Oryzias latipes: one gene and its partners. The main gene of each other region encodes a partner of the protein of the gene in region 4 in a complex. Links are inferred from orthologs where the notes say so. Each region holds a gene or a part of one and is shown on either strand. Other genes may lie near its edges.

The links.
Region 1: ppp4r2 (region 4) and ppp4r1 share a complex: the UniProt entries of both Homo sapiens proteins name them as parts of the PP4 complex. The link is inferred for Oryzias latipes from reciprocal best matches to the Homo sapiens genes PPP4R2 and PPP4R1.
Region 2: ppp4r2 (region 4) and ppp4r4 share a complex: the UniProt entries of both Homo sapiens proteins name them as parts of the PP4 complex. The link is inferred for Oryzias latipes from reciprocal best matches to the Homo sapiens genes PPP4R2 and PPP4R4.
Region 3: ppp4r2 (region 4) and ppp4c share a complex: the UniProt entries of both Homo sapiens proteins name them as parts of the PP4 complex. The link is inferred for Oryzias latipes from reciprocal best matches to the Homo sapiens genes PPP4R2 and PPP4C.
Region 5: ppp4r2 (region 4) and ppp4r3b share a complex: the UniProt entries of both Homo sapiens proteins name them as parts of the PP4 complex. The link is inferred for Oryzias latipes from reciprocal best matches to the Homo sapiens genes PPP4R2 and PPP4R3B.

What each region holds. Positions count from the first base shown.
Region 1 is NC_019863.2:13,851,462-13,857,260, reverse strand, and holds part of ppp4r1 (serine/threonine-protein phosphatase 4 regulatory subunit 1), read right to left. Parts: intron 5,758-5,799; coding exon 5,572-5,757; intron 4,665-5,571; coding exon 4,503-4,664; intron 4,352-4,502; coding exon 4,251-4,351; intron 2,889-4,250; coding exon 2,768-2,888; intron 2,517-2,767; coding exon 2,382-2,516; intron 1,361-2,381; coding exon 1,219-1,360; intron 1,004-1,218; coding exon 858-1,003; 3' UTR 1-857. UniProt on the Homo sapiens protein: Regulatory subunit of serine/threonine-protein phosphatase 4. May play a role in regulation of cell division in renal glomeruli. The PPP4C-PPP4R1 PP4 complex may play a role in dephosphorylation and regulation of HDAC3.
Region 2 is NC_019882.2:23,188,255-23,195,115, forward strand, and holds the start of ppp4r4 (serine/threonine-protein phosphatase 4 regulatory subunit 4), read right to left. Parts: upstream 4,303-6,861; 5' UTR 4,046-4,302; coding exon 3,839-4,045; intron 1-3,838. UniProt on the Homo sapiens protein: Putative regulatory subunit of serine/threonine-protein phosphatase 4.
Region 3 is NC_019866.2:25,209,982-25,215,159, forward strand, and holds part of ppp4c (serine/threonine-protein phosphatase 4 catalytic subunit), read right to left. Parts: intron 3,700-5,178; coding exon 3,648-3,699; intron 3,572-3,647; coding exon 3,521-3,571; intron 2,658-3,520; coding exon 2,556-2,657; intron 2,471-2,555; coding exon 2,297-2,470; intron 2,199-2,296; coding exon 2,072-2,198; intron 1,998-2,071; coding exon 1,808-1,997; intron 1-1,807. UniProt on the Homo sapiens protein: Protein phosphatase that is involved in many processes such as microtubule organization at centrosomes, maturation of spliceosomal snRNPs, apoptosis, DNA repair, tumor necrosis factor (TNF)-alpha signaling, activation of c-Jun N-terminal kinase MAPK8, regulation of histone acetylation, DNA damage checkpoint signaling, NF-kappa-B activation and cell migration.
Region 4 is NC_019863.2:21,902,491-21,909,638, forward strand, and holds the start of ppp4r2 (serine/threonine-protein phosphatase 4 regulatory subunit 2), read right to left. Parts: upstream 3,808-7,148; 5' UTR 3,711-3,807; coding exon 3,677-3,710; intron 3,105-3,676; coding exon 3,023-3,104; intron 737-3,022; coding exon 566-736; intron 1-565. Other genes in the region: gxylt2 (glucoside xylosyltransferase 2), read right to left, coding at 5,427-5,603. UniProt on the Homo sapiens protein: Regulatory subunit of serine/threonine-protein phosphatase 4 (PP4). May regulate the activity of PPP4C at centrosomal microtubule organizing centers.
Region 5 is NC_019873.2:15,892,214-15,898,224, reverse strand, and holds part of ppp4r3b (serine/threonine-protein phosphatase 4 regulatory subunit 3B), read right to left. Parts: intron 5,669-6,011; coding exon 5,570-5,668; intron 5,176-5,569; coding exon 4,552-5,175; intron 3,475-4,551; coding exon 3,397-3,474; intron 3,027-3,396; coding exon 2,910-3,026; intron 2,824-2,909; coding exon 2,707-2,823; intron 2,341-2,706; coding exon 2,209-2,340; intron 1,867-2,208; coding exon 1,764-1,866; intron 1,699-1,763; coding exon 1,642-1,698; intron 900-1,641; coding exon 741-899; intron 640-740; coding exon 470-639; intron 395-469; coding exon 255-394; intron 122-254; coding exon 1-121. UniProt on the Homo sapiens protein: Regulatory subunit of serine/threonine-protein phosphatase 4 (PP4). May regulate the activity of PPP4C at centrosomal microtubule organizing centers.

The DNA of each region.
Region 1 (5,799 bases), about 8.1 Mb from region 4:
TTTGGATGTCCCTCCACATGTGTGACACTTGCTGGCCATAAACAAATGGAGGTATTTCATTCATCTCCTGCCATTTAGGAGACATACTGTCACATTTTGGGCACGTCATAGTCTATCAGATTGCTTTTTTTTTTTTTTTTTAAGAGATACCACGAAGTGGCAGACTAATCATCCCATCTGTGCAGCAGTAGTGGTTTCTGTGGTCCACGAAGACCAGGAGAGACTAAAAGGGATTTGAGACGGTGGGAGGGAAGAAACCAGAAGACATCTGAGAAGTCAGAGGACATTAGAGACAACCGACGTTCAGGTGGAAAGCTTGGACTGGTCTGCACCTTCTGCAACTGGAGTTTTTCTTTTACAACCAGAAATCCAGGAGCGGCTCCTTATAACATGAGCTAATAATGCTGTTCAGGTTCAGATGAGTCCCCCTGAGTTAGTGCACACATCAGAGTCCAGCAGGACTCACACACACAGCCATGAAATCCACAAAGAAAACAAAAGACTGGGTTTAGAATTAGCTTTGGAAAGTGTGAGTCTGTGGCGGTGGGGTCGATGTTAGCGTGGGGGTGGGAGCAAGTTCAGACATGACTATGGCAACCGCCACCACGGCCACCAGAGTCCTGCTCGGCTGTGGAAATCTCTGAGTACTTTGCATTTTCTTGTTGTCGTGTGCGCTTCAGCGTCCCTCCAGAGACAGGGCCGCGTGGTCTGAGCATTCGTGCACTTGTACATCCCAATTCAATACTCTCAAAGGGTTCTGGTCCAGATGCTGGTGTGGCCAGTTAAGCCAGCCGTGTGTCGGTCAGGCAGCCAAGAAGGTAAGACAGGCAGGCTGTGAAGGTGTGTGAGAGCTGAGGCTAGATAAAAGGGGCCGTGTCCATTAGGCCTTTGCTTGGGTCCATGCTGGCGAAGAATCGGACGTCTCGGTCCTTGTCGGACTGCAGAGCCATCACAGTCTCCTCCAGCTTGTTAGAATAGGCACAGCCCGGCTCTCTAAAATAAGCTGGGGGAAAAAAAATCAAAAAAGGAGAGAAAAGGTGACATTTTTGCACAAACAGGACATTCAACATCCAACCCAGCATTTCTGAACCTTGCTCATCATCACATCTTTTTGTTGTGGTTGTTGAAGGTCACACTCCAAGGCTTGAATTACAAGGAAATAAACAATGTTGGGAAACTGCAAATAATCTACACACATGAAATGTTCCTGCTCTATACCTTTTTCCATCACGCTCTGACGTAAAGCCTTGGCCACCAGAACGCGGACATTGGCTACAGGGTCTGTGGAGAGGCTGAGCAGACTGGGCAGGAGATGCTGGCTGAACTGCTCCATGGGCATGCAGTCCTCCTCCACAACAGCCTGCAGGAGATTCAACAGAACGGTCAGTCAGAAAGCTGCAGGAGGAAGTCCGTCAACAAGGAGTTCAGTCCAGAGAAATCACATAGAAAGTCAACAAACAGGTTCATCAACAAAGAGCATTCTATGGCATCAACCTTATCTGATTGTGCAACACTGAAGACAAAAAAACAAGTTTTGTAATTATTTTCAGTTGCAGATAAAACCAGCAACACAAACACCCCCCTTTCTGAGCTGAATTGTCCCTCTTGTGTCTTTGAGGACATTTGATTTGGAGACAGCCATGGACACAGAAACAGGAAAAAAAAAAAAAAAAGTGGAAAGCTGCACTGACTAGTCACAGTTTGTAAGTTGATGGGTAAAAACCCCTCAGAGCCCAGAGCACTTTGCTCACTTTTTGAGGTTCAGGTTATCTGCAAGCTTTAATGTGCATCTGGGCTTTTAAACACAAATGAAGTTCTGTTGTTTCACCATGGCTACATATGTAAAGTATGACATGGGCAAGTAAATGAGTTGATCGTTCCCAGAGAATTGTGGGAGGATTTTATAGGCGGGACCAAGCCGAACACCATCTACTTGCTGGTCTTTAATTGACACTGACAAATGTTTTCTTTTGTATGCGAAAACAGCAGAAACAGCTGATATTCAGAGGAAAGTGTTCCTGTTAGAGATCAAACAGATTCACCAGAAATGAAACAGAGAAAACCACAGAACTTTTTAGTCTGTCCAAGTTTTACTCAAATAAAAATGATTGAATGCATGTTTGCATTTAGGAATCAAAGTCTTCTTTGCTGTATTAAAAATTAAGTGAAAATTTTTCCATCAGTTTTGCTTGTAACTTAGAATCACACAGCAGTAATAAAGTTCACACCGGTCAGTCTGTCTTTTGGTTTAGGAGCTCAGTATCAGCATTTTTATACATTCAGTTGAAAGATTAAAACCAAAATAAACAAAAGCGTGTTCAAAGAATTATTGAGAATACCTCTTCCCTAATATAATGTGGATTCTAAAAGCAAACACAGACCTGGCAGATGAAGGCAAACGCCTGCCTCCCCACCCACTTGGGACAGTGGCAGAACCTCACGGTCAGCTCATTGATGAACTCCAAGCCCAGGTCATCAGCCCTGCTGGCATACAGCTTCTGCAGAATTTCCACCACCTGACGACAGGTAAGAGCACACAACCCACTCAGACCACTTCTAGAAGTTTCAATGAATGAATCAGCAGCTGACAAATTGGAATATTTTCCCCAGATGTCGCCTTGATGCTAAAACCTGAATCATGATGGTTATGGGTTTTTTTCTTCCATGTGTGTAGCATCTAAACTTCCTCTCTATTGTGATACTACTGTCATGTTTCTTTAAATATTTAGACATGTCTTTCTACAAACCCCATTTCTTGTAAACTTACCAGTTTGTAAGAAATCCACCGGACTTCTGACACTTTGTCAGAGCAAAGGGTGAGCGCTATATGTCTGAGGTAGTCGTACACGTCACGGTGGTTGTACAACTCTATTATCAAGATCAGCTGCCTGTAGGAAAAAAAAAAACAGCAACACACAATTATGAAGCTGATAGAAAATAAAGTCAGTTAGAATACCTGTAATTTGAACAGATCTAGGGCTAAAAGAACTATGCCTGATTTTATTTAAGACAGGATTGTGTTATGACTTCATACCTATCAAAGCAGAAATGCATTTATGCTCCATGATATGTGGCAATAGGAGCTACTTATTGCGTTCATGTGCACACATGTTCAGTGTGTTGGTTACTGTTGTCACTGCTTGAAGCAAACGTTAAAAATACACAACAGAAAGGGCAAGCTGCCAGCAATGTGAAGCCCGGACTAGATCCAACTGGCACTAGGACCCTGAAGAGACCACGGTCAAGAAAGAGAATATTCTCCAGACACTGTGTCATGAATAATTCACACTTCTCCATTGACGCATGTTTTTGCCTCAACAGTGCACAAGTGTGTGAGCAGAACCAAATGCTAGAATGTTGTAGAATGACTTTCTTTTTCATGTTATGGTTATCTCTTAAAATATACAGATTTTGGCTTTATTCCCCCCCCAAAAAAAGAAGCTAGAAATACAAATAATTATTATTTACTAATCCAGCAAGAGACAGCACATGAATCTGCTGTCAATCAGGATAATGTGGTGTTAAATAAACATAAAAAAAGGGAATGTACAATCCTAAACCCCTTTTATAGATACAGTGTTCATCCATGGTGGTCTCGCTGTTTTCAGATTTTTTTTAGCGTGATTTTGCATGTTTTGTTTACAACACAATGTGTTCTACATCTTGATTGGCTGTTGACCTCGTCAATCAATTTCCTCTGTGCTGCATCTCCTGTAGAGGATGCTTTCAGCGTTCCCCTATTTACATAAAACACTGATCGAGAACAGATCTTTGTATTTATTCTATAATACTGGGCTCATTTTTCCATGAAGGTCTTAGCTTTGAGAGTTTAAACAAGAGAGAAAATGGGAAAATGTAAAGTCTGTCTGAAAAAGTATCGAAAGTGTGCCTAAAGGCTTTTACAGCCTTAAACATCTATACTCTTACTTTGTGGATTTCACCCATCTCGGTTTAATTATCCCTGACAATAAACGAGGGAACACTGTTATTAGTCTGGCTAAAATATTATGATATCTAATATATTGGTTTGCATCCCTCACCCCCTACTGAAACTGTTTCTTAACACCATAGTAGTAGGTTTGCAGATGACAGCCCCTAAACCTACTACTATGATGGAATCAACCTGGATGAATGAGAGTCCTCATAGACATGTTTTTTAACACAGAAATATGAAGCAGTGCTTTATGAATAAACTGAATAGAAAATGATGTTCAAGTCTGTTGTGTGTGAGGAAACAAAAGTCAACGTACTCTGCCAGCTCATATCTGAATCTCCAGTTGCGACTGTTGTCTGTGACCATGAACTCCTGCAGTTGGTACAGATACTCTCTCCTTTTGTCTGCATGCAGCAGCTGCAACAAGAGAATGACAAACAACATTATCTAGCACACCCATGCCAACGACTTCCTTTGGTTTAGAAATGATTTTTAAAGAGCTTCAACATCTTTCACGAAGCAGCTGTGACTGTACCTGCAGCTTTAGTCTGCATGGGAATTACTTTACCTTTAAGAAGTCATAAAGATGCTTCAGCACGCCGATGCGAACTTCATCCAGATCTTTCAGGAAGCCGTTGAATATGGGAACCAGATCAGCGGCTGTCAGCTGGTCGCCCAGGATAACCGCCAGTTCATGGATAGAGAAAGCCAGTGTGCGTCGCACTTTCCACTAAGAAAGACCACAAAGGAAAACACCACAAGATGACAGCAGCAGAAACAGAAAAACAAGCAGCTTAATAAATGAGTTACTTTTTAAGACAGGAAAAAAAACCTAAGATTTACACAGCATAGAAACAAAGGCTCTACATTCACTGTCTGGTTGAGCTAAGTTTTATTGAGACAAAGGGATTTGCTCAAATATGATTAATTTATTGACATTTTAATCTAATTTAATTTAAAATTGTAAAAAAAACAAAAAACGGTCGCTTTATTTGTCTATAATAAAAAAGTTATAAGGGAAAGATAGAGCAAAGGCAAACAAATCATTTGTCCCGACAGTTTGTAGCTTCAGAGTATGTTCCTTTTGCACGGTGTTGTTTCACAGCTCGGAGGGAAAAATACATCAATACCACAACATTACTGATGAAAAAGGACCAAAGTCAAAATCATTTTAAGCTAATTTTTACAAATCAAACTAGTCTTGGAAGAATAGGAAATCCTAAATGAAATACCAATATGGTTATTGTTTACCTTGTGGCGTATCCCCTCAGGGGTTGCCACAGCCAATCACAATGGGACCTTTTCCACTTGATTGAAACACATTTCTGTGGTACAGCTACCATATATTTCTGATGTTCTTTTCCTTCTATTTGAGAAGAAATCTGTTCAGAAGAGTCATGCAAGTTCCTGACATGTTTCCTGCAGAGTTGTGGCCTCAGCATTTTCAGTCCACACATCATTGTTCTTGCTGTTGAGTCAGGTCACATCCCAACAGCTTAAAGTTCAAATTCTGAACAAAAACCCCCAGAGGAATAAAAAGGCAGCGTCTGAGCAGCCTCTCTATCCAACCTTTTCACACACATTTAAGAATCCAACTTCAAATCTAATCCCATTTGTCTTCTTGAGGTTTTCCTGACCTGTACGTCACTAGCGAGGGTCTCGTACGTGTCCTTCAGACAGTGCCAGTTCTGTCGACCAAGAGTGAGGGCTACTCCTGGGAGGCTGAAGGCACAGTGTTTGGCTATCTCCGTGTCCACCGTCTGGGCTCGTGCCGGGTCTGTCATAGACAGGTACTGGTCCAACAGAGGCTGGGGGATGACATTCTACAGGTGGGGGTCAAACACTGGGTTTAAAATGCATTTCTG
Region 2 (6,861 bases), on a different chromosome or scaffold from region 4:
TCCACAGCTTCATTGAATTTCCTATGAAGGGTCTTAGAGTCCTGTTGATGTTGTACAGCTCCAAGCATTCAGTGATCCATGTGTGTGGCATTGAGTCATAGGCTTTCTTGTAATCAATCCAGGCAGTGCACAGGTTGGTGTGTCGTGACCTGCAGTCTTGAGCGACTGTTCTGTCAACCAGGAGTTGGTGTTTTGCTCCTCTGGAGTCTCTACCAATGCCCTTCTGTGTGTTTCTCATGTATTGATCCATGTTGGTTGCAATGATGCCTGACATGAGCTTCCATGTTGTGGAGAGACAGGTTTTTGGCCGGTAGTTGGATGGGACTGCACCCTTTGAGGGATCCTTCTGGATCAGGATTGTTCGCCCTTCTGTTAGCCATTCGGGGTAAGTCCCTGTCTCTTAGCAGCTGGTTCTTTTGCTGCCAGGCTAGGAGTGTGGTTTAGCCTTCTCTCTGACCTGGTGTTCTGGCACTCCCGTTGTGTTACAATTGTGTTGTACCGCTTCAATCTCAAGTTGTGATAGGAGTTGCCATTTGCGGATGTTGGAACATTGAGCTTGGCAGTTAGCCTTTCTTGTGGGTTTCGAAGCATCCATTCACTCCACATTCTCTGCACATAACCTCTATTAGTAGTTTTACTGGAGTAGTAACATTCCAACAGAACCTTGTTCTCACATCTAGTCCATTTCCGTCTTGTTCCAGTAGCTCACTTTCCATCAGTGTGCTCTGGTTCCCCAGCACCTGACGCGGATCTTGTTTGGACGGGCGACGTCTGGCATGACGTGATTCATTGTCTCTCATGGGTTCTCAGGGGGGCCCTCACTGGATTATGTCAATAGCTCACCATTGTTATTTTAATTCCCCCATTAGCCTTGATAGTTGATTCCGTCCCTGGTATATATATATAAATAGATGGGTAGATCTTTTAGAGCTTGTCACCTCCAAAGTAGCTCGCACGGCAAAAAACTGTGGGCACCCCTGCTTTACATGAAGGAAAAAATGTACAGAATTATCAGTGTTAATGACTTTTAATGTTTTGAATAAATAGATATATTTTAAAAATAAATACATAACATAACTCATAAATACATCATTCTAATGAAAAGTAAATTGTCATTCACAAAAACGTTAAATTATTTTTATTGTTATGTTTTAGTGGAGACCTAAGTTGAGGCACGCACAGGGAAGGAAAAAGTTTATTTAGAGTCCAAAGGTCCTATCGTTGAATGGCCCGATGTCCTGGTGAGCGTCTGAGGAAGTGTGACGTCATTGACATGGAGGGGAATCCTGTGAGTGTTGGGGAGGTGGGGCCAGCAGACTCTGTGCATGAGCGACAAGGGCTGAGGGGAGCAGACTCCATGGAAGTCATGTATTGGGAAGCCAGTAGAAACAAGACAGACAAGAATTACTTGAGCAAACGGTTGGATTCAACGACAGATGAGGAACCACGAACTGGCAGAGAATGAGCGAACACACCAATCTAATATACCCCGGGTCACAGCTGAAGCGAGTGGGGATAGGAAGGCAGAAATGGAGAACCAGAAACAAATCTTGACAGTGCCCCACACCTAAGTGCCGTCTACTGATGGATCACCCGGTTGCCCAGGGTGATCCCGATGAAACTGACCAATCAGGACAGGGTCCAAAATGAGCCTGGAGGGGACCCAAAATTGCTCCTCTGGACCGTATTACTCCCAGTTGACCAAATACTGGTAGCCTTTTCCCCTGCGTCGTGAGTTGAGAAGAGCCCTAATGGTGTAGGCGGTACCCCTATCTATGAACCGAGCAGGGGGAGGGGGTCTGTCAGGGGGAACGAGGTCAGATTCCTGGACAGGCATGAGCTTGGACACATGGAAGGTGGGGTTTACTCATATGGGGCTAGGGCAACCGTAACCTTACAGCAGCAGGGTTAATTACTTTGGTTATAGGGAAGGGTTAGATGAAACGGAGTGCCAGGTTCCTATGGGTCACACACAGCAGAAGGTGGATAGCCATACAATTTGACCGTGTCCGTACACGGGTGCCGGTCTTCTGTGTTTGTCTGCCTGGTGCTTTTAGGAGTCCACAGTCCTGAACAATTTCCAACCTAGCCCTGCACTAGAAAAGATGGATCATACGAATGGATGCTTGAGCTGATGGGACAGAGACAGCACCCTCCAGGGTGGGAAACACAGGTGGTAGACAACCTCAAAGGACGAGTAGAGGTCAATGTAAGGTGTTGTGGGCATATTCTGCTCAAATCAGATTGCGTGACCAGGACGAAGAATCTGAAGAGCATAGTATTTTTAGGCTGGTCTCCAGCTGCTGGTTAAGTCTCTCTGATGGAGATTGGATTGGGGATGGAAACGTGATGAGAGACTAACAGATACACCCAGCAGTCTGCAAAACTCAGACCAGATCTTTGCTGTGAACTGTGGGCCCCTGTCCGAGACTATGTGTCTAGGGATGCCGTGCAACCTGACAACCTGACGCAAGAGTACCTCAGCGGTCTAAAAGGTAACCCTGGTAGAGCGATAAAGTGCACCATTATTGAGAATCTATCAACGACTGTTAGTATAGTGTTGTTACCTTCAGAGCTTGGAAGACCAGTCACAAAGTCCATGGTGACATGCGACCAGGGCCAGCAGGGAATAGTAGAGGGTTGAGGAGACTAGACGGTCGTAGACAGGAGGTTTTGTTCCTGGCACAAACTGGACTTGCAGTCCCATATTTCCTCATGTCAGAGAGTAAGGAAGGCCACCAAAAACTCTTTCTGACTACAGTAGCAGTTCCATGTATGCCAGGATGACAATGGAGTGACGACAAATGGCACCAGGGGATTGATTTGGAACCAGTGAAATAATTGAATAATTCCCTCAAAATATTATTTTGTCCAAACGAAGAAGTATTCAAAATGAAAAAATAAGAAAAGTGCACTTTTTTGCCTCCCCATCCAGCAGTGGTGCTCTGTCTGCTCTTCAGCCGGCGTAGCCAGCGCAGTCGCTCCAGCCCCATAGCCCTGCGACCGGCTGGCGATCTGTTCAGGGTGTTTCCCTCCTTCGGCCAACAGTAGCCGGACAGTCTCCGCAAACTCAGCACCCCGGTGGGTAAGAAAATGGATGCAAACTGGCTACCTGTGCAGAGTTAATGGGCACGTGATTCATTTAATTTGAAAAAAAGTGTTTTTATTGCAGTTTTATGAAATATGTCAATTTTGATTGGGCTCAAATATCACCTCCTCCTCCAAGCGCAAATACTTGAATCCACCGCGATCATCATCGGTCAATCATAAAGCCGTGCCACCCCATTAAGCAAAAATAAACTGTTTAAAAAAGCTACAAATTTAAAAAATATACACTGCCCCCAGAATTGTCATGTATTAAATGTTCAACCATTTAGGCAAAAAAGGTTTAAGCACCAGGCAATAAAAGGGTTTATTTATGGGGGGAATCCCAATTGTAACTTCGTCAATACAAAATGCTCAGTCTGAGCACCAGCCTCTCTGGTCATTAGAGGTACTGCCCCCCCGCCCGCTAGAGTTACCCCCTTGCTCTGTCCCAACATGTCATTACCATCTTCGCGTGACCAGTGAGGTGACAGCTACTTAAACGTGCTGTCTTTCTTTCTTCAAATTCGAACAGAGTGGAAGAGCGCGTGCCCGTCATCTTAACTCCGTCTCTGTATGGACAGGCTGAGGAACTGCGTCACGCTGCGGGTCTCCGTCTGCTTCTCCTCGGCTGCCCATCTTCCTCCCCCCGCTTCTTCATAGAACCATCATTCTATCAGCATAGTTTTCACGCGCCTATTCGCGCACGTGCGTGCTAGAACTGTCCACCGGCGCGTGGACAGGGCATCCCTACCTTGAGGGTCCTGCGAATCGGCCGCTCTATGAAGGCGAGCTCCTGCAGCTCCTCTGGGGGCCCGCACAGCGGGCTGGGGGGGCTCAGGGCCATCCTGCCGGGAAACATCTGCTGAATGAAAGCGGCCCAGTCGGTCAGTAGTTTCTGTGGGAAGCCAGGCAGCAAGCTCAGCACCAACCGAGGAGGGAGGGGGGAGGCTGCCACCATCCGTTTCCAAGGAGATCCCTGCTCGCGGATGGGAGACGTCACATAAGTCGAACCGAATCCTCCGAACCCGCAGTACGCACACCTTCCATCCTGGATCTCTCAGAACTGGTCCCGGGAGGGCGTGTGTTACCAATAGCAGAGCTTAGCCTACTTTGAATGCCCACTCCTTCTGGTCACGCGCATTATGTGTGCGCATGTCATCACCCCCTCACTACTGCCTACAGTACATTGTGCATACACGCACGCAAGCACGCACGTCGTCCACAGCAGCCTTGTCCGTAAAAGTGGCAGCGCACACAAAATAAACAGAAACCCAACACGACTGTAAGTATTTCTAACGCAAAGTTCGGAGCTGCGGAAACTCCGAAGCATACGGCTTGATCCGGGACAGAATGACAAAAACACCCTGACCTGAGCACTGGCGGATTTAGCAGTTTGGGGGCCCCAGGCAAACTTTGACACGGGGCCCTCTGCTGCGGTTTTGTTCACTTTTTTAAATCCTTATCTGTAGGGTAAAACGTCAAATAACTTCCTTACTGGTCCACTTTTAGACAACCTCAATGTCAAGAATCCAAATGTTTTGATAAGAATTTAAAATGTAAAATTTTAAATAAATAAGAAAAGAAAAAAGGGGGTAAGCATTGTGGCATGTTGGACGTCCTCTTTCATCCCGTCCGCCGCCGTAGTAAATGTTGATATATCTGGTTTTGTTGAGCTGCACTTTCTGATGCCCGGCAGACTTAACCATCACTGATAATTCAGACTGCAATTGTGAGGAAAATAAAATAGATTTCACTCAAAAAACATTTGGACACTCGCTGGTTTTGCAAAGATGTGTCTGAAATACACAATGGAAAATATTTAATAATTATTATTTAATCTTGTTCATACTCAACATACATACCATATGTAAATATATTTTGACAACATTTTTTAAGTAAATGAGTTTGAATTCAAAAGAACAATTCTGTATTTACTTTTCTTTGGATTGTCATCAGAAGAGGAGGCAGCATCAGGCATTTTTACCCTCTGCAGACATGTGGTCCACATGGGTGGACATCACATTTTGGGGTCTGTGGCCACAGATGTTCATTCTGCTTATGGGGTCCTGCTGTGACTGTGTGTGAAGAGGGTTAACTTAAATATTAGCTTGAGCATCAAGAGATTAATGACAATAGGATATCATATTTTGATATGACAGATTAGGACCACAGAAATAACACATTCAAACTTGTCATGTGTTAGAAGGGGCTGTTTGTACTAAAATAAGTGAAAATGTTTGTTGCACCACTCTACTATAAAAGCTTTAAATGTTAAAAAACATTTCCAAGCTGAAGTAGCTGAAGTAGTTAGCGTTAGTATGGAGGGTCCGGCGTACAACATGGGTGTGGACAAAAACAAAAGGGGAAAAAAAATGACTTAATCCGGTCCTGCCTTTTTTCCCCATATGAGAAAGGTTCAAGTTAACATCAGCCAATATGAGAGCTGCCATTTTAGCCTTCCAGTAGGGGAGTGTAGAAGTAATGGCCGACTTCAGAGATGATTGTCCAGTAATCAAATCAAATCAAACTTTATTTCTACAGCACTTTTTCAATTGTTATGTGCCATGCTAATCAAAGTCCTTTTTTTACATGAAAACAATTAAAATTTAAAAACAAAAGACAAGACAATAGCCAAATAATTTGTCCAAAACCAATACAGTGCCCAGAACCCCCCCCCCCCCGCACACACATACACACACCATGGTAAGAGAAATGATGCAATGTAGAAATCTGCATGTCCAGGGACATGTCCAGATCATTGACCCCCACTAAAGTTCACAGAACAGCTGCCACGGGACCCCCCAGATCTAAGTATAAGAGCCAGACCTGGTAGATCCCATTGCAGTGACCCCGTTCACTGAAAAAGGTCAGTCACTGATGTGGAGGATCCCTCTGAGGAAAACACTGAAGTTACAAATAAATTGTGAAAGCAATAAAATAAAGTTGAAACGGATAAATAAATATAAAAATAAACCTTAATAGACAGATATAAATCAGTAAAAGTGAATAAAAAATATCAAATGAGTGAAAAGAAAAAACAAAATAACAAAAAAATTAAATAAATTCATTACTAAATTCAACTTAAACTATATTAAAAAGGTAGGTCTTGAACCTTTCTTTAAAAACATGAACAGTCTCTGCGGCCCTGAGGCATGCTGGGAAGCTGCTCCACACGCGAGGTCCGTGATAACTAAATGAGGCCTCGCCGTATGTTTTAGTTTCCAATTTTGGAATAACCAAAGGGTCTGTATCAGAGGACCTCAGGTTCCGCGAGGGCTCACACTTTAAAATCATATCAGATGAATATGAAGGCCTGAAACCATAAAAACATTTATAAACCAATAAAGGAACTTTAAAATCAATCCTGAAGCACACAGGGAGCCAATGCAGTGATTTTAAAATCGGTGTAATGTGTTCCCGCCCCTTGGTCCTCGTCAATACATTGCTGCTGAATTTTGCAGCTGTTGAAGATTCAATATCCTTGTTCTGGGAAGACCAGAGAGCAGGGCCTTACAATAATCTAATCTGCTGGAAATAAAAATATGCATCAACACCTCTATGCGGGCAATAGAGAGAAATGGGCTGACTCTGGCAATATATCTAAGATGATAAAATCCTGTTTTTGTTCTATTTTCAATTTGTGGAATAAAATTCATCTCGGGGTCAAAAAAACAAATGCAGAGGTTTCTCACACACTGAGAAGTTTTGTCATTCTTTAGTTTGGTTAAAACAATCTCTCTCTTGTCTTCAGAACCGATCACTAAAACCTCTGTT
Region 3 (5,178 bases), on a different chromosome or scaffold from region 4:
ATCAGAAAACAAGATAAAAGCCCACAAAACATGTTTTATGAAAAGTATATAAATATTTCAAAATATGTATGTAAACAGACACGAATGTATAACATTAAAACATTTGCTCATTGAGGCTTTTCTATAAACACTAATGACTCTCTGAACTCAACATAAACCTATTTAGACAAAATCCTCAGGATGTCAATCTGAGCTAAAGTGCAGCAGGAGAGCTGACACAATAAAGCAGTGAGATGGTTAACAGCACACGGCGTTCCATGCTTTCTCCAACAGAGAAGCTCTAACTGAACAACCAGATCATTATGGTCTGTCTCTGCTGGAGGGCGTTTCCGTCTGGCCACTAGGTGGAGCTCTCCTTATAGCATTACACTTTATTCCAGAAGATTGGAGCAAAAAATGGAGCTTTAGACCACAAATGGTTACTTTCAAAAATGTTTCTGTAAAAGAGTTTGGAAAATTCCTGCCTGTGAGTCTATAAAGCTGCTCATTGAGTCAGTAATGTATGTTTGGGTCGTCCAAGAGTTAGCATTAGCCGTCCTATGGGAAATTCCATTATACGTTAGCATCAAGCTAGCAGACTTTGGCTTTACTGATGTTATACATTAGATCCCCGGAAAAAAATGAGCATAAAAGATCGATTTCTACTTTAATGGATCTATTATTGATCTACTAAGATTGGATCAATTCAGATCAATTAATCGATTTGATCAAAATCACCGTGCAAAAAAATGTATATACAGTTTTTTTTAAAAGTAAGAAAAGCAGGGAATGTAGGAGGAATTGACTATTATCCATTCTTCCACCATCCCCTGCTACAAGCCCCTCCCACTGGTTCCAGAGGGGCGGCGGCTTCTCCTGCCACAGTTGGGGGCAGCTGCTGCTCCTCACTGGGAGAGTGAATGGTTTCATGAGGCACACATGGAGGCGTGTGCTGCTCATTGATGCTGTTGTAGAGCTCTTCAAAATGAAGAAACGCCATCTGTCATCATCTGCGTCCTCCATGCGGAGGTCGACACGCTTTTGGCGGGAGCTTTAGGCTCACACACCTTAGGACAAACATTAACTAGGACCTTTGACGCATGTTAAACCTTAGCCGTGGCGTGTGGTCCATACAAATCATCCGTTGCACACCTAAATGTCCAGAAAACATTCCATATTTTCTGTTTTATAGGGTGCACCACCAATAAATAACCTATTTTCTACATTACGTCATATATAAGGCGCACTGCACTATAGGGTCCATGAAGAGAGAATAAAAAGGCAGAGGAAAGTCCAGACTTTATAAACAATATTTCTAATTCCTGTTTGCGACGCTCTACACGTTAATTACTTAAGTCGCTCCACATCACAAGTCATTTTGACCAAAATGAAGGTTTATTCTGTGCTCCTCATAGTGCCAAAAATATGCTACGAATTTCTAAATGCAGAACAAATATTTGGAGTTTTGCTGCTTGAAAACATAAATTAACTACAGAAAATAAAATAAATTTTTTTTGCTTTGAATATTGAGACAAACAAACATTTAACAGCTTTGGTTGAATGCAAAGCCTAAAGTAAACAGTTGTACTTTTCAGTCTTAGCAGGACTGGCCGGTTCCCAAAGGTCCATTTTCTCTGCATCTGCATTCTAGTCGTGCTGAAGCACAGCCAGTAAATCTCCTCACAGCAGCAGTCTGAATTAGAGACGCTGTTCCTACAGCTAACCGCTAACCTAAACCTAACTAGCATTCAACTCCTTAAGTGGGCGTGTCCCAAAGGGAGGCTTTTACACAGAGACAAATCAGTGGAACCGGACAGGTGTCCGTCACCTGTAGCAGTAGTTGGGTGCGGACCACACGGTGAGCACAGTCTCGTTGAAGTGCCACTTGTAGCCCTCCATGACCAGCTGGTGCGCTCGACAAATCATGTGGATGTCGTTGGCGGCGTTGAACTGAGCCACCACGTCGCTCCCGAACAGATATCCAGCCCCTCTGGGACTGACCCCCCACCCGGTGGTGTCTGAGAGCAGACCGAAGAGATCAGGCAAACGTGCAGCTTCTCAAACGGAGTCCGGCTCTGGCTGAAGCCGTTACCTTCAGGGTCTGACCACAGAAGGTCACACATGGGCCCATCGTGAGGCACTTCCTGTTTCCTGTCAATGGTCCGGATCTGGTCCAGTGTTTGGATGGAGGGGGACAGCCCTCCGTGCACACAGAAGATCTGGAGGACAGAATGAAAGCCATCAAAACAAAAGCCAAAGGAAAACCTTTTCACGTCCAACATTTTGGAGGAAACGGCGTGAAGAAAACCCGTCCGACCTTTCCATCGATGATGGCAGAGAGCGACAGGTAGTCGAATATCTCGGTGCAGTATCTCCACACCGTCACAGAGCCGTACTTGCGGAGGCACTCATCGTAGAAGCCATAGACCTGTGTGATCTGCCTGGACTCGTGGTTTCCCCGGATCAAAGTGATCCTGTCTGGATAACGCACCTGAGGAACCAAAAACAGGAGGATTTATGTCAGAGACCTGCACAAGTGCAGCACGGAAGGGCTTGATTGACTTCAAATCGTTCACCTTGAGGGCCAGCAGCAGAAGGAAAGTCTCCACGCTGTAGAAGCCTCTGTCCACAAAGTCCCCCATGAAGAGATAATTGGTCTCTGGGACATCTCCCCCCACCTGGTAAATGGCAGGTTTAAAATCAGTGGAATCAACACACAATGCCTTAACGTTTCAAAACTTGACGGTTTTTGGGTTTCCATAATAAACCCTGAACTTCTGCGGTTCTCATGATTCAACTCCAATAGGAGTGAGGCTCTGCTCTTTAATGGCCTCCCCTCCACACACCAGCCAGCCGTCCCTTTCTATAAATGACCCGCTACCGTTTCTTCATCCCTTTGGCAGAAAACACAAAGAGGCCAGCAGAAGGCCTCAGGCTAAAACACACAGTACAGCCTGAGGAGAACCGGTCGGACCATCGGACACCAGAGGAGCGCGGCTGTGCTGTAAACCCACACGTGTACAGACAGAATGAAGGGCAGTTTAAAGCAAACAGCCCAACTTTTGTTTTAATAACACCGTTTGCTTTAAAGTTGACCTGGATCTGGCATCAGCAAACACATTTCAAGGCCTCTGTACAGACATTCTGTTAAAACTACTGAGTACAGAGTACTGCTATTTCTACACAGAGGTCACTAGCAGAAGTTACGGGGCACTTCTCGTGGCGCTCGTGTTTTCATTGCTCCGCCTCGCTGAAGTAGCTCCTCTTTGCTCGCTGCTGTTCTCACATCCGTGCTTTGGACGGACCGGCGGGCGGCTTTTACTCCCAACACGGAAGAGAGCAGAGAGCTGGGGGGAAACGTCTCCATTTTCTCAAAAATAAACAGTCTAAAACATCAAATTGGACATAACTGATTAATGGTCCAGCCCTACGTCACAGCCCATAAAGAAGAAGTGTCCAACCATCAAAACCAAACAGCAGTGCAGGAAAATAAACCACGATTTTGTCTGGAGCTTGGATTAAAACAAACATAAAAGCTTACTCTGAAGAGTTCTTTCAGGTCATAGAACTGACCGTGTATATCACCACAAACCTACAAAAAATAAGAGAACAGAAGGTCAAACGAACAATCAACGACTTTGGATTTAAAAGCAGCAAATGGAACTTACAGTGACTGGAGAGTCTACTCTCTGAACGTTACTCTCTTCAACCAGGATTTCTCTGAAAGAAAGTCATGAACACGTATGACAATGAGGTTCTAAACATGTTCTGTTTAAAAAAAGTGACAGTGTTCTGAAATCTGTCAATTACAAAAGAAGTTTTTTTCATCATTTCAAGAAATAACTCTGGGAATATTGAAAAATACAGTATTGAACAATCCTTCATTCTCTAGTTTCCAGTAACTCTTCACCTTCTACAGGAAAAGCACTTTTCAGGTGACAATAGCACCGATATAGCACTGCCTAGTGCGTCCATCACGATCGACTAGTCAACCCTGATCAATGCGAATTGATCATGGGCCATCAAAAAGAAACTTTGATTGTTTTTATTGCCGTCTGCCAATCATCATCCTTGTCATGAAGTAAATCACTTGATAAGAATGCAGAACAGCCAAACAAACATCCTGTGATGAAAAGGTCATTGCACATCCGTGTTCAACTATACGAGCAGCAGGTCGACCGGCACACTGTCCGCCGGGTCCCCGGGACAGCGTCTCTCCAGCCTGCAGAACCGTGTATGGAAGCACAAGTCGGCCAGCGCCTCCCTGATCGGAAACGAGACCGTGAAGCCCCGTCTGACCCAGCCGTCCTGCCACGGCACCGGCTGCCGGGTCTGCGGTTTCTGCCTGAATGATTGAGGCCCGCTCGGGCAGAAGCCTGTGCCTCTCGAGCTCTGTCCATGAATCAGGGGCCCGGCCCGGTGTGCGCCCTGTCCCCGCCGCTGCTCCACCGCCAGGCTTGTCACCTGGTATAAAACCTGAGTGGGCCAAGGGGGGGCGGACCTACTGTAGCCGGGCATGCTCTCACTTCAACGACAACCAAGTAGATCCTGGAAGAAGTATTAGCTTATCCCAAGAATGAAGCCCAAAACAGAACAAAAAAAAAAAAGGGGGGGGGGGGGGCTGATCTGGAGTTTTTCTTCCTCCTAAACTTGAGAAAGAGGAGCATTCAGCGTCAGACTCCTAGCAATAGAAATGTTTCTGCTGTGCGATGCTCTGCTGTTAACATAACAACAAAACACACACAGGTCCAAATCAACAAGCTGCTGAAGGAACTTTTTATCATATCTTATATGTGAATCTAAATGTATCAACTGAATTCTAAATAATTTTCTGAGTCACTTTAAAGTCTTTTCATATTAAGTCTGTGTATGTAAGGATATATTTAAAAAGACACGTGTTGCGGTGCATTCTGGGAGCTTATACTTTGATTACGATTTGGAACAACTTACAGTAAACTTATGCAGACATCTGTGAACCAGCGAATCATGGTAATGAGCGGCCACTGGCTACAGCCTTTGGTACAGAATTTAACAGTACTTGGAAGAAATATTATTATTTGCTTAATAGGCCTATAGAGACATTTCAGTTATGTTGTGTTCAGAATGGAAAGCTCCATCATGGGCCTAAGGAAACTGCGGCTTGTGGTTTTTAGTGGCTGGCGTGATGCAGAAAAAGTGTGGCCCCCCAGCAGTGGAGGG
Region 4 (7,148 bases):
ACAAACGCAGTCATTTGGGGGGTGGGGGCTGGGGGGGGGGCATAGACTACGACACGCAGCACCATTCTGGAGTGGAAACACATTCTCAGCACAGACAGCAACTTAAAAATTCAGATGCGAGTCAAAACCTCTGGCCACACAAATGTCCCAAAGTTCACATAATTGAACTTAGTCGAAGAATTTGTGTCTTGTCAACCAATCAAGAACTCAAGTCTGGTAGTGACGTGTTGTAATGTGATCAGTGGGTGGAGTCCAAAACCAACATGGAGGAGAATCTGATCACACTCGTTTGTTCTCCTCCTGAACGTTATTGTATTTGTTTTTTGGATGGAAACAATATATTTTTTTTTTCCTCCCCGGAATTATGTGGGACAGCAAGTCGTCAAACATCTCCCCCCACAAGCGTCAGGAGCGGTGTCTTTTCTTCCTTTTACATCCCAAATCGTGACCAAGAATGACATTCCTCCCTTAGCATTTCTTTAGCTTCATATTCAGAGATGAGGTGATGGTTGATCGGTAACTCCACGTCCCTCTGCCGGCCGGCACAACTGGAGCGTCCACTCACCCGTTGTAGCCGTCCACAATCTTCAGGATCCTCTCCTTCATGTCTTCGAATGGAACAGACTCCACGTTGGGGTTGGCGGCGCCTCTCTGTTCGGGCGCCGACGCTCTGAAGTCGTCCATCACCGTCTCCAGCTTGAACAGGAAGTAGCTTTTGAACTGAGACCACTGGACCCTGGAGAGTTGGACACAGGAGATGAGGATGAACAGGAAACCGGTAAAGTACTCCTTTGTCGTAGTATTAATCCATGTTCCTCTTTCTTTGGTAAAAACAACCAGCTGCTCGGTTCTGAGTCTTAATCGCTCTTTCCTACTCTCAGCTCTGAACTTGTTTTTTGGGTATAAATGACTGAAAACACATTGATATGATCAACCTATAAAAATGTTTGATCCAATAGAAACTTCTAAAATATTCAAATAAACCAAATATTGACCTTTTGCAAATGAAAACCCTTCTATTATACAGATTTATCTCTAATACACTTTCATTTCATTCAATCATATAGGAGAAGCCACACTTTACGCCTTAGTCATAACTTCCCTTATGGGTGGATCCAGGCTGTCTGCAGGTTAAGAATTGACCAACCTGTGCGGGCCAAACAGGCGCTCCACAAACAATATCAAATTCGTAGAACGCTCGAAGAGCAAATAATGTTTTCTGGATGATCTTCATCCAGTGTGGGTCCTTGGGCAAGACCCTTCACACACTGTGCCGGTCCCCAGCCCGGAAATAAATAGAGTTGTGGCAGAAGAAATAACAATCTCTGCCACCTGTATGAATCAGTGAAAGCTGATTGGCTGTGGCCACCCCTGAAACGATATGCCGAAAGGGGAACAAACGAGTTTAATTCCCGTGGACGTCCTACAGGCACTTGCATATGACCTGCACTCCCACGTGTGCAGCAATTGCACGCCGTCAACAATGAGTCAGTATGCGCACCTTACTAAACAAATAGTGTAGCGTAAGGCCCCCGTACGACACCAGCACCTGTACATCAAACCTACATCCTTACAAATACTTTACAATACGCTTAACACACGCAAGACAATCATATGTTTTATTTTCACGATGTCCCTCAAGGTCGACAACCCTGGAAAAACCAAACCCAGTACGGCAGCATGTGACTAAGGCTTTACTAACAGAAATATCAGCAGAAGTGGTCATTTTTACCAACACCAACAACCTCCTGTATCCCTAAATATAGCATCAAGCTAACATATATTTGAACTAGAATGGCCTCAGTATGTTTACCATTCTGTAGCTCCACAGCATCTACGACATTTCTTCACCTATTATTGTAAATACACCGAAACTGAAATCTAAGCCCGAATGAAGGGATATTCTGAATAAAACAAAGACCTATAAATAAGCTGATTTTGTGGTCTTCCTCTTCCACTAGAAGTGATGAAGCTTCTTGGATGGGCTTTTGTTAGACGATAGAAAGAAAAAATAAAGAACCTTACACTCATACTAGCTGGGAAACGTAAATCAACCCAGTTTGTATGTTTCTTATTTGTTTAAAACGTTTTCCATCACCTCAAAAAAAACCTTTATTTTTTAACCTCTTTTCTCGAAGAGACAAGTTATCGCTAGACGACTGGTGATGCTACAGTTGATTACTTAGCCCCTCACACACACAGCTGTAATAAGCATAAGTATTCATTTTTGCCAACATCTGTAATACATTTATTTATTTCACTCATTATTCCATAATAATTCTCATAAAGAAAGCTCACTTTAACCAAACTTTAATAAAATTTTGTGGTCGTGGATTCACAAGTTTCAAGGTAAAGCTGCACCATTCTCTGTGTAACAGGTTTTTAACGTCACGTTTAAAATAACACGGCACACATTCGATGTCTGCAGAGGGCAACACATTCAACATTTGTTGAGTTCCATAAAAGCAGGAAATGGTATCGGGGCAGATGAACGTTTCCGACAACACTGACAATAATAGACACGGGTAAAACTGGAGAAAGTGGAAAGTTTCAAAGATGTATTCTTCTTATGACCGGAAACCCCCCCCGCAAACATCTCCAAAAACTCTCTGATGGGTCCAAATACAATATCAGCAGTGTTTTCTGTGGGATGTAACTGCAGACACCGAACCATAAACTGCTATCTGCATGGACTTCAGACTGAGAAGTAAACCAGAGTTCACCTCTATAGTATAGAAGCTGTCACGAATCTGAAAACCAGGTTGCAAACAAAAATGACTCAAAAATCAAGGAATTATCCGAGATAAGTTTGATCCCTTCATCCTGACTGACCCTTTTCCCCCGTTCTATTTGACCCTATTTCGTGCAGAACTTGCATTAGGAAAAGCATATAGGTAACTGTCATAGTAAGAATTTCCTGTGAAAGTGAACAATAGAGCATCAATGGAAAGTGAAAGGCTCAAAGTAAACCGAAGAGTTTCAAATACTGGAGCAGAAAAACCGAGAGAAAAAGGACACTTACATGGTCTGTCCAGTTTTGGCAACATGGCACAGGAACTCCTCCAGAACAGGGGATGGTTCCTTTTTAGATTTCTTGTCAAAATCTGTAGAAACATTTTAACAAATTGGCTGAACACGAACAGGTCTCGATTTAGCCTAGCTTAAAAAACGAACAGTTTAGCCAAACTGAGCAGCTGAGAATGTCGGATTAATTTGTGGTCGTCCAGTTTAACCTGGTTAACGCTCAATGCCCACTTTAACTCAACCCGAGGAATTAATATATATCGCTGAACCCTTCCTTTCGTTAAGTGTTGATCAGCAGTTCCTATTAGCTTATCGTAGCCCTGCGATGCTAACTTTAGCCTAACGGGGAAGCCGGTAGTTTTCCCCAAAGCGTTAGCCGGCTAATTCATCTGAAATCATGGTGCGTGGAAAACAAAAAGAAGAAAGCTAACTATAAGAACTAACTAGTTATTTCAAAAAAAAAAGAAAGGAATACATTAAAAAGAAAGCTAAGCGTTTCGAAGACAGCACTAGCTAATAAGTTAGCATCGGTTGACACTAGCTCTCGTAAACTAAAACCCACTTCATTATCGCTTTTTTTAGTGTAACCTAGAGCAGACATTTATCAGATATTTTTCGTCAGCTTGGTGTTAAATGAGGAGAAGAAAGTGACCTATGAGCGCCTCTTGAATCGAGTCAATTTCCATCACGTCGTCGCCTCTGTTAGTGCTGAGGGTGTCAACGGCAGGATGGCGGCTAGCCGATGCTAAGCTAGGCTAGGAGGCGGCGGGGGGGGGGGGGGTAATTAAAGATGGCGTCGTTAAGTCACAGCCCGAGTCTAACTCAACAAACAGAAGAGAACTGATACAACACAACTAAAAAAAGAGCATTCCCAGTAGACTTTTTTTTTTGCAGAGCAGCATATATGAAGTTAGATTTGTTGCACAAAACGGTTTGCACCTGTAATGAGACATTTGTGTGTGTTGAAAGATTTAGTATCTGTAGAAAACAGATTGTCTGTCTGTTTTAAAAATGTTTGTACCCGTCATTAGAAATGTGTGCGTCTGTAAAACTGTTTTATAACGGGAAAACAAACATGTCTGTCTATAAAGTTGCTTTGTCCGTGTGTGAAATGTCACACGCACAAATAAACATGTATTTATCTACAATGACAAAGTTACAAATACAGTATGTTTTGCTTCTCACTAAATCAACCAATCAGCAGCCATGAGCTGTCACCCAATCTGTGTGCTGCGTATATTGTAATTGATGTATTTCATTACAATATAGCAACTAAAAGAAAATAAGAGTTGGTCATTATTATTAAAAAATATGTCTGAGTTGTGGGTGGGACCATTGGCCCGGAGCAACCCCACCCCCCTGACCCTTCCCCTTTGCTGAGAGCTCTCTATTTACACTCTCTCCTGCTAGCTTACAGTCCCTCACATCCCTAGTGGCGTTGCAGCAAAAAATGGCGACCAATGTTGGAGCTAATTGAGCCAGATGCTAGCTCGGACGAGGAAAACGAACATTTAGATAGATGAATCAGAATGACGCGGAGCACAATTTTTTTTTTAAACTGCATTTTTTGTCTGCTCCTAATTCACAATTTGAACGAAGTAATACTCAGAAATGCAATCTCAAGCTTAACTTTCTTGATATTTTTCTTCCATCGTCAGAAAAAATGCCACGAGAACATGTTAAAAACAACAGAAACACAATTTTATCAGAGTGGGTCTTTCATATAAAAGAATGTGGTGTCTTTAAGACTCCGCCCACTTACCAGGACAAAAGCAAACAAGGTAATAGCAGGGGGAAAAAGACTCACAATGGGTTAGTTTTTTGCAAAAATTTTAATTCTGAAAACATATGTAGACTCCACAAACTTTTCCATGTAACACGTGGGTCACAACAGCACAGATTCATATTACAGGCTCACACACACCTACACAAATCCATTTATTTTGTATGGTAAACATGGCACACATGAACATTAATATGGCGTTTAAACTTCACTCCAATAAAACATTCTTGCACAATCTGTCCAACTCGGTCAGGCAAAGTCTCACGGTCTAAAAGAAAAAAATCTTTTTTAAAAAGTGCTTTTCAAACATTTAACATACAAACATTTAATACAGACAGTGGTGGTTCGTTCACATTTCATGGTGACGCTAAAATATTCACCATTCTTTAAACTGTCCAAGAGTTGCTCTCATACAATTGAACCTTTAAAATGTTCATTTTAGTCGCTTAGAAATGCTTGAGATGAGCATTTTTCTCAACATAAATAAAAAAGTGACTTCTTTGTTTGGTTTCTTTTTATTTACTTTTTTATTTCTGTAGAGTTCATGATCCTTCACAGGTTGCGTCTGCTTTAAATGCACAGCATGGGGGTGTGGGTGGGGCAACATGGTCTTCGGCTGTTAATTTCGAGGTCTGGCATGGCGCACCACCTTCCTCTCAAAAGCACTCCTCATGGTCTTCTCTATCTGCTTGAGGAAGACCTGGGGAATGCGACCGCACAGAGTGTTGACCGTGTCCAGGAACCTGCTCTGGACCGGGTAGAACAGCGATTGGAACATGTTGTCCTCGAAAGGGAACTGCGGAGACAAAGGCGTAACGTCAGATCCCCAGCCAGCTGCTGCAGGAAGACAATTTTGTAGGTTGTGTCCGAATTCCCTCACTACTTTATGCACTTTCTGTGGCGTTCGCCATTTTTTTTTCCGGGGGGTTCAAATCTACAATTCCAAAATCCAGTGCCCTGGACAAGTCCCTGAGGTCTCTGCTTAAAACTAATGAGCATCGATGCACAGTAGATCAGGAAATATAGACCACAATGCATTGCGGTTAAACAATTTTTTTCGGGAAAAAAAATTGTTTTTACCATACTTAAGGTAAAAAAAAAAAAATTATACTTAAAAAAATAAATCATCATCAATTTGCCTATTGATGGGCTTTGGCGTGTTGGCGAAAATGGCTAAATAATTTTAAAAATTTATGAGAACATTGGCTTTAGAGTCTTCATATTTACAATCGAATTTCTTAGGTTTTACTTTGGTAAATAAGTTCTGAACTATATTGTGTTTCAGGAGTTGGGGAGAAGGGAGGGAATTCAGAGACAGCCCTCAGTTTCAGGCATTAAACAATAAAATTCTGCCCCAGTTGTCCTTGGCAGGCTCATCTCTGTCAGAGTAAGGCAATATCCGAATTCCCACCCTACTCCCTAACTACTAAAACACAATATAGTGCAGGACTACGTAGTGCCCTGGATTTTATTAGCAATTCAGACACCATGCTCACTACTTTTTTTATGGCGAATATGACGTCATCGATTTCATGAAGTGAAAATCTAATTAATATGAGAGTTTTGCAATGATCGTTTATGAGTCCACGGAGTTCTGATGATGAAAACGATTTTAATAATAAATATAAAATAAAATGTTTTCACAAACATTGTTCAAACACAATGCACTCTGGTTTATATTCGCCAATCTAGTGAGCATCAGTGCACACTGGTTTTTCACAGAGACTTATGGGAAATTTCTAGGGCACAGGATTTTGGAATTGTAGATTCGGACAGCTCTACAAAATGAAGAAGGCAATGTATAGTGCACTATGTAATGAGTAGTGAAGGAATTCGGACAGGGCCTAAAAAGATTCCAGAAAGCAAAAAACAGACCCAGATTGTTTTGTTTTTTTAACATGAGCCCCACAGAATCCAATTATATTATTGTGCTATAAAACTGCTGCAGTTCAAACCCGAAGTTAGAGTAATATGCTCTACTGTGAACTGATCTTTCTGCTACTCAGCTTTGCTGATGACACACAGCTTTAAGGCCTGTTCACACCGGGACGAATTTCGCCGGCGATTTTCGCCGACGTTTAACGCCTCGTGACTAAACAAAGGGCACCAATGAGAGTGTGCACACCGACGCGAAAAAACGCCACGCGACAAAGCGTCAAAAAAAAAACCGCCTCGGGTTCGTTTTTTTTTTTCGACGCAACGCGTCGAAATCTATTCGACCAATGAGAATGGCGCTTTTGCACACGTGTCTGGAGCTTCTGAAGTTACAGTAAAACACAACTTGGGGGCGCTCAAACACAAAACTGCCTTGCTGAGCACACATACCAGCGAAGAAGATAGA
Region 5 (6,011 bases), on a different chromosome or scaffold from region 4:
GTAGCTGTCAGAGAAGTCATCCTCCATCCTTTTCTCCGTTGACTCTCCATCTTCATCATCCTCATCGTCATTGAACCACATCTCTTCATCTTCATCCAGCGATCGCGCATCTCTGCGATATCTACAGGGGAAGAAAACAGATTTACCAAACAGTTTAGCTTCTATGTAACAGAAAAGTGAAAAAGAGAATTTTTTTATAAATTCTTGAAGATGCAGATCACATCAATAAAAGGACTGTATCTCAGACTGCTCACCTGTTGAGTCTCTGACTCTGTCTGTCTTTTTCCTGTTCGTAACGCCCTTTCAGGCCCTTAAAGGTCTGAACATACTCAATGGGTTCAAGTGCTTTGTAAAAGTTATCCACAATGTGAGCGATGAGTGATTTGATGTCCTCCTAAAAAAAGACATGTAGAAAATCTTAATTTTGTTGCAAACACAAACACATGTTGCAGTTGGAGCTTTTACGCACCACTTTAATGAACTCAAAGAGCTCAATGATGGCTGAGTTGAGGAGGTTGTATCGAGTGCCGTTGTCCAGCAGGGCATTTATGACAGGCTCAAACAGGTTCCCTTTGATGATGTAGCGGTTGTAGTACTCATCTTTCAAACCAATGATTCTGCGCATGAAACGCAGGGCACCTAAAACACAAAACAAATACATTATTGTGAAAAACATTACACTCGAAGAAAACAAGACTGGAAGCTTGGGCTGCAGGTCATTTGCTCCTGGATGGACTTACAAAGAGCAAGAAAGGTGTGCTTCGAGTTCATGAGCACCAGCACTCTCCTGAGCAGGTCTTTGTTCATGATGTAAGTCTTGATGTGGTAGGTGTGGTGTTCCACGCAAAAAGTGAGCAGCTCCAGGATCAGAGCCAACAGCTGAGCTGTCTGGAAGTTGTCTACAGAAACAAGAAAACGACTTATGTTTACTTACACAACAAACCAAGGCTTGAGGCAGTGCTTCACAATTAGTTTTTTGCAAGGAAGAAATAGGTAAAAAACATTATGCTGATTTTTTTCAAAATGATTATTTATGATATCATATAGTGCAGCTGTTTTCCTGCTGTCTTCATGTCAAATACTGACACCAACTAAACGACAGGCAGACAAAGAATACATTTATGGAAAATACAGAGACGTCATCAAAATGTCTACAATAGTTCTTAAAGAATGACATTATTAGCATGAGGTGAGTAATCTAAAGGCACGTGATGATCCTGGTGTTGCGCAATCTAGCGCTCCGCATGCGCTGTTCAACCTGCAGCCTGAGCGCACTACCCCTCCCCTTTCATTCTCACACACGCTGTCTGTGACAGCAGACAGGAGCAGCTGCAGGGACGGCAGTTCACAGGTTTCAGGCTGTTATAAACTCTGTCATATAACAGATAAGAGTAAATCAATAGTGGCGCAGATTTTATTCCAAGCACTGAGCCGCTGTCACTACAGCGCCCCGTTAAATTTGCGCCCCAGGCAATTGCCCGTATTACCTGTGCCTGAAACCGCTACCACTGCGCGGCCCCCCCTGGCATCGCCCCACTATTTGAGAAGCACTGGCTTAAGCGAACCTGTGTACTCTGAGTAGTAACGTTTCTAGAAACTGTGCTGTACACAGGCTGGAACATTTACTGCATTAACACCCACCTGGACAGACAGGGTTGATCTTTGTGGATCCGTCTTGCTGATCTGAAACATCAATATCTGCATAAATCAAACAAGACCTTTTCCCATACAGCAGAAGAAAAACAGCAAAGTCCCAAGTTTACCTTTCGTGGTCTTGTCATGTGCCGTGTTGGCCAGCAGAGGAGCAGTGAGCACATGCATGCAGTACTTGTAGAAGAAACTCAGAAACTCAGTCTTCTCTGTTTTCTATCAAAACATGAAAGGAGAAAAAGACATGAAAATTTAATCAAAACAACAATCAAGCTTTATTTTTTTCATCAAATGTATTTTTTTTTTTTACTTTAGGTCAACGATCAAGATTTCAGACCAACTATCAATAATCAGCTGGAGTTCACAACGAATCTATGAGGCTTTTAGGTTGAAAAGTAACAATTTGCTGTTAATTATTTAACATAAAAATGTTGAAATGAGCTACAAGCTCAAACCGACCAAACCAAAAGTGTTTTCAAGAATGAACATCAGAAAAAAATAATTACATTCATGTAAAATAGAGGAATCCTTTTTTCTGTGTAGTTGTGTGGAGCTTACATTGGTGGAAGCCAGCATGTTTTCAGGATCAATGAGAGTCCTGAGAAGGCCCATCAGCTGAACAGCTCCTCCTAACTCTGGGTCTGAGTCACAGATCATCTGCTTGATCACCACATTTATCAGCAGAACATCCTGACACACAAGCACAAAGGGAAAACAATGAGGAAAGAAAATCTGAAACGTATACTGTGATGTTTCTAAGAGTAAGTAAACAGAGTTTATAGTAATCAAAACGGCATATAGATGAACTTTCATAAGGATTATTGAAATGGGGTTTAAAAAAAAAGCAACAAACCCCTAATTGCTGATAACACTTCAGAAATATGGTTTCATATTATCCAACTTAAAACCCACTTGATTTATTTATTTTGTACAACAATATAAAAGTAAAAACAGCACAACACTTTCAAAAATCAGTACATTTATAAATCAATATCACTGTGGATACAGGTTAAACTCAAAGCAGAGCTTGCTTGTGACAGATGAATCCAAACTTACGTCATCCGTCTGCTGAGGCTCCTGCATGACAAACTCTCTGACCATGGAGGGGCTGAATTCCACCAGGTAAGAGAAGATGTCTGTAGCTGCTGCCCGTACTTGTAGGTCATTCATTCCCTGATAACAACAAATTGGAAAGTGATGATGCACGCATTCCTCTGAATCATCCAAAAGCCAGCATTTTAAACAAAAAACAGACATACCATTACTATTTCCAGAGCAGGTAAAATCCCCAAATTTGCCAAGGTTTTAAAAAAGGCATCCCTGTTTTGTGGTTGCAAAGTTTGGGAAAAAGCACAGAATTCCTTGACAAAGTTCACCTAAAAGTGAGAGGGAAAAAAGGACAAAAAGAAAAACGTAGTAAGTAAAAAAAACCAACATATTTAACCCTAATTTCCCTTGTTCTACAATGCTTTTTTCCAGCGGATGTCAATGATTACACCTGATCCAACAAAACAATTCAAATTCAACAAATGCTATACTATTGAATAAGGAAATGAACTAAGACAGTATTTACTCAAACTTCAAAATTAAAGACCAACCATTAATGCTTTCAAAAAAACAATAGTACAAATATTAAACATTTCCATTCGACTATAATGGAATGTAATCTTTGAAACCATGCCGTTTACAAATAGATTTTAAACAACAAATAAAGGGTTTAGTGAAGCATGTTGATGATTAACTTACCAACTCTCTCCTTTTACTGTCATCTGTGGCTTCATCTGTAAGCTGTGCAAAGACCTCTGTTAGGAACTTCTCATCCTCCTGTGGAAAACAGGGAAAACAGTTCAGGTATAAACAAACAGAATGACAGAAAAAAACAAAAACAAAGGAGAAGCTGGAAGGTTTAAATATTTAATTCTCTTTCACACTGTCGCCCACTGACTATGCCTTTTGTTTATTAAATAAAACTTTACAGAGAGTTGGCTCTATACACACAATTTCTAAAAAAATTGATACTAAAAAAAATGAGACGGTCATTTTTTCAATCCAAACACCATATGTTCTCATTAAAGTGTTCTAATGTATTTTTAACCAACTGCGGTTGTCTCTTTGCCAGGACTCCCTTGGTATTATGCCGGCTAAATCAAGTAAATAAATAAATAAAATGAAGTGTGAAAAAATTGAGCAATTTCAGATCAAAATTAAAAACCTGGAAGAGATCATGCAAGAGATTGGAAGAAACAGGAAATCAGTTGGAACTGATTACACCATGGAAACAATACAAACAGTGAAGAGTGCCGGAAGTTATTTTTAAAATATATATATAAAAGACAACTAAACTATTACTATCAGGTAACATTAAAAAAAAAGTTAAAAACAGAAGAAATCTGAGATATATGATGAAAATCTCAAATGATCATCTTAAACTTTTATGTGAAAATGTATTAAGACATTATTATGGAAACAATAGAGGGGGACACATTATGACAAAGCAGGTTGAAGCTTTGTAGAACAACTCATTCTCTTGGCACATTCTAAACGCTGTCATTTTTTTAAACAAATATCTTGACTTACAGTGAACTTTTCAAGAAAATAATGCAAAACACACTAGCACAAGTATTATCCTGTTCAGTTTCTCTCAATTATCTCCTATTTATGTAGAGAACACATTTTTAAAATCACAATTTCATTTTTTTGCCATAAATTTTTTTGTATTAGAAACTGGAGAGAGTACATTAACGTAGCGAACAACAGAAGATACAGACTGTCCAACAGTCAATGTGCAGAATGTTGATTACATCTTAAAAGAATCCCTTTTAATAGAAAACATTTTAATTTACATTGTTAAATACATTAAACTGAAACTTACACTCACTTTAGCCTGGTTTAGATCCTTACCTGCAACATACTGACAATCTCCACTTTGTTGAAGAAAATGAAGGACGTGAGGGTGGACAGGAAGTTCTCCTCAAACACTGAGGGTGTAGGCAGTATTATGTCCTGGATGTATTGAACTCTGTAGGTCTGGTGGATTTTCTGCCGCAGCTCAGAGTCCGTAATCGGGATCACTTCCTTAAATTTTGCGGTCTTGGTCAAGAACTCCCGATGTCTTTTAGGCTGAACCAATGCTGGGTCATACTCAAGGCAACCTACCACATCCATGATACAGTCATCCGAGAACATCACCTCAAAAAGGGCAGCTTTGTTGAGGAACAAGACTCCCCGCACAACCTCATAGAGGTGATGCAAGCCTTCTCTGTTGTCCAGGTCCTCGCATACTCTGAAGAGACCCAGCAGTTTCTTTATGTAGCCCTCACTCATTAGAGCCAGTGCAAGTTTTTCGCGCCGAATGGGTGAGGAGAGAACAGAGGTAACCAGGTCAGCGATTTCCTCAAGTCGACCTAGTTCACATGGCGGGAGCTCAACCAAGTGGCTTGTCTCTGGAATTTCCTCAAAGTGGTCCTCCTCTGATTCATCGATGGGATCCTGAGTGATGTCCAGAGCAGGGTCTTTGCCTTGTACCTGAGCAAAAATAATAAAATAAAAATCACATATTTAAAAAAAAAAATTTACAGTAAAGAATCATGAACTCCCTTACTTGGGATACTGGTAGTAAAAACTGCAAAACTCGCAGCATTCTTATACATTCTAAACGTATGTGATACTTGCAGGTATGAGCCACAGCTAAAAATAAACTTATTTTTTTTGCTAAAATACAATGTCAAACTTTAACGAGTTAAAAGACCAAAACCCTCAATCCCTTTATTTATAAAAAAATATATATGTTATTTAACATGTTTCAATCGTTATACAGTAACAGTTACAAAGTCCCACCTGACAGGAACGTTTTTCAAACATCAAAGAGAAGGGACACCAAGAAGGAGGGACATGCTGAACTGTCTTTATTTGTAATTACCTGACAGATCCTTTCCCAAATCTCATCACAGCCAGCCTTTTCCTGGAAGCTTAGAGCAAGATCGTAATTATCCGCTTCTGACCAAACAATCAGTGTGTCCTGAAAGAAAAGAATGAAACTTTTTCCTATTACCAAAAATACAAAAATAGCAACAACAACAATTGTCTTCAAACATATTTTACATTAAAACTTTAAATAAAGCTTAATTTAAACCCAGAATGTGTGCCTTAATCATTGTACTCATACAAAAATACAACCAACGACTTTGTTTTTAAATGACTGAACAGGTGTAGAAAAGTAAAAAAAGAAGATACTTCTGTGTACATAGTTGTAGATGTACCTCTTCTAAATGTTTTTAGGGGTAGAAAGATATATTTTTCTTATTGCTGCTCCCTTTCATTTCCCCTGCATAAGATGTCTAGTATTGTTTTAATGTATATGT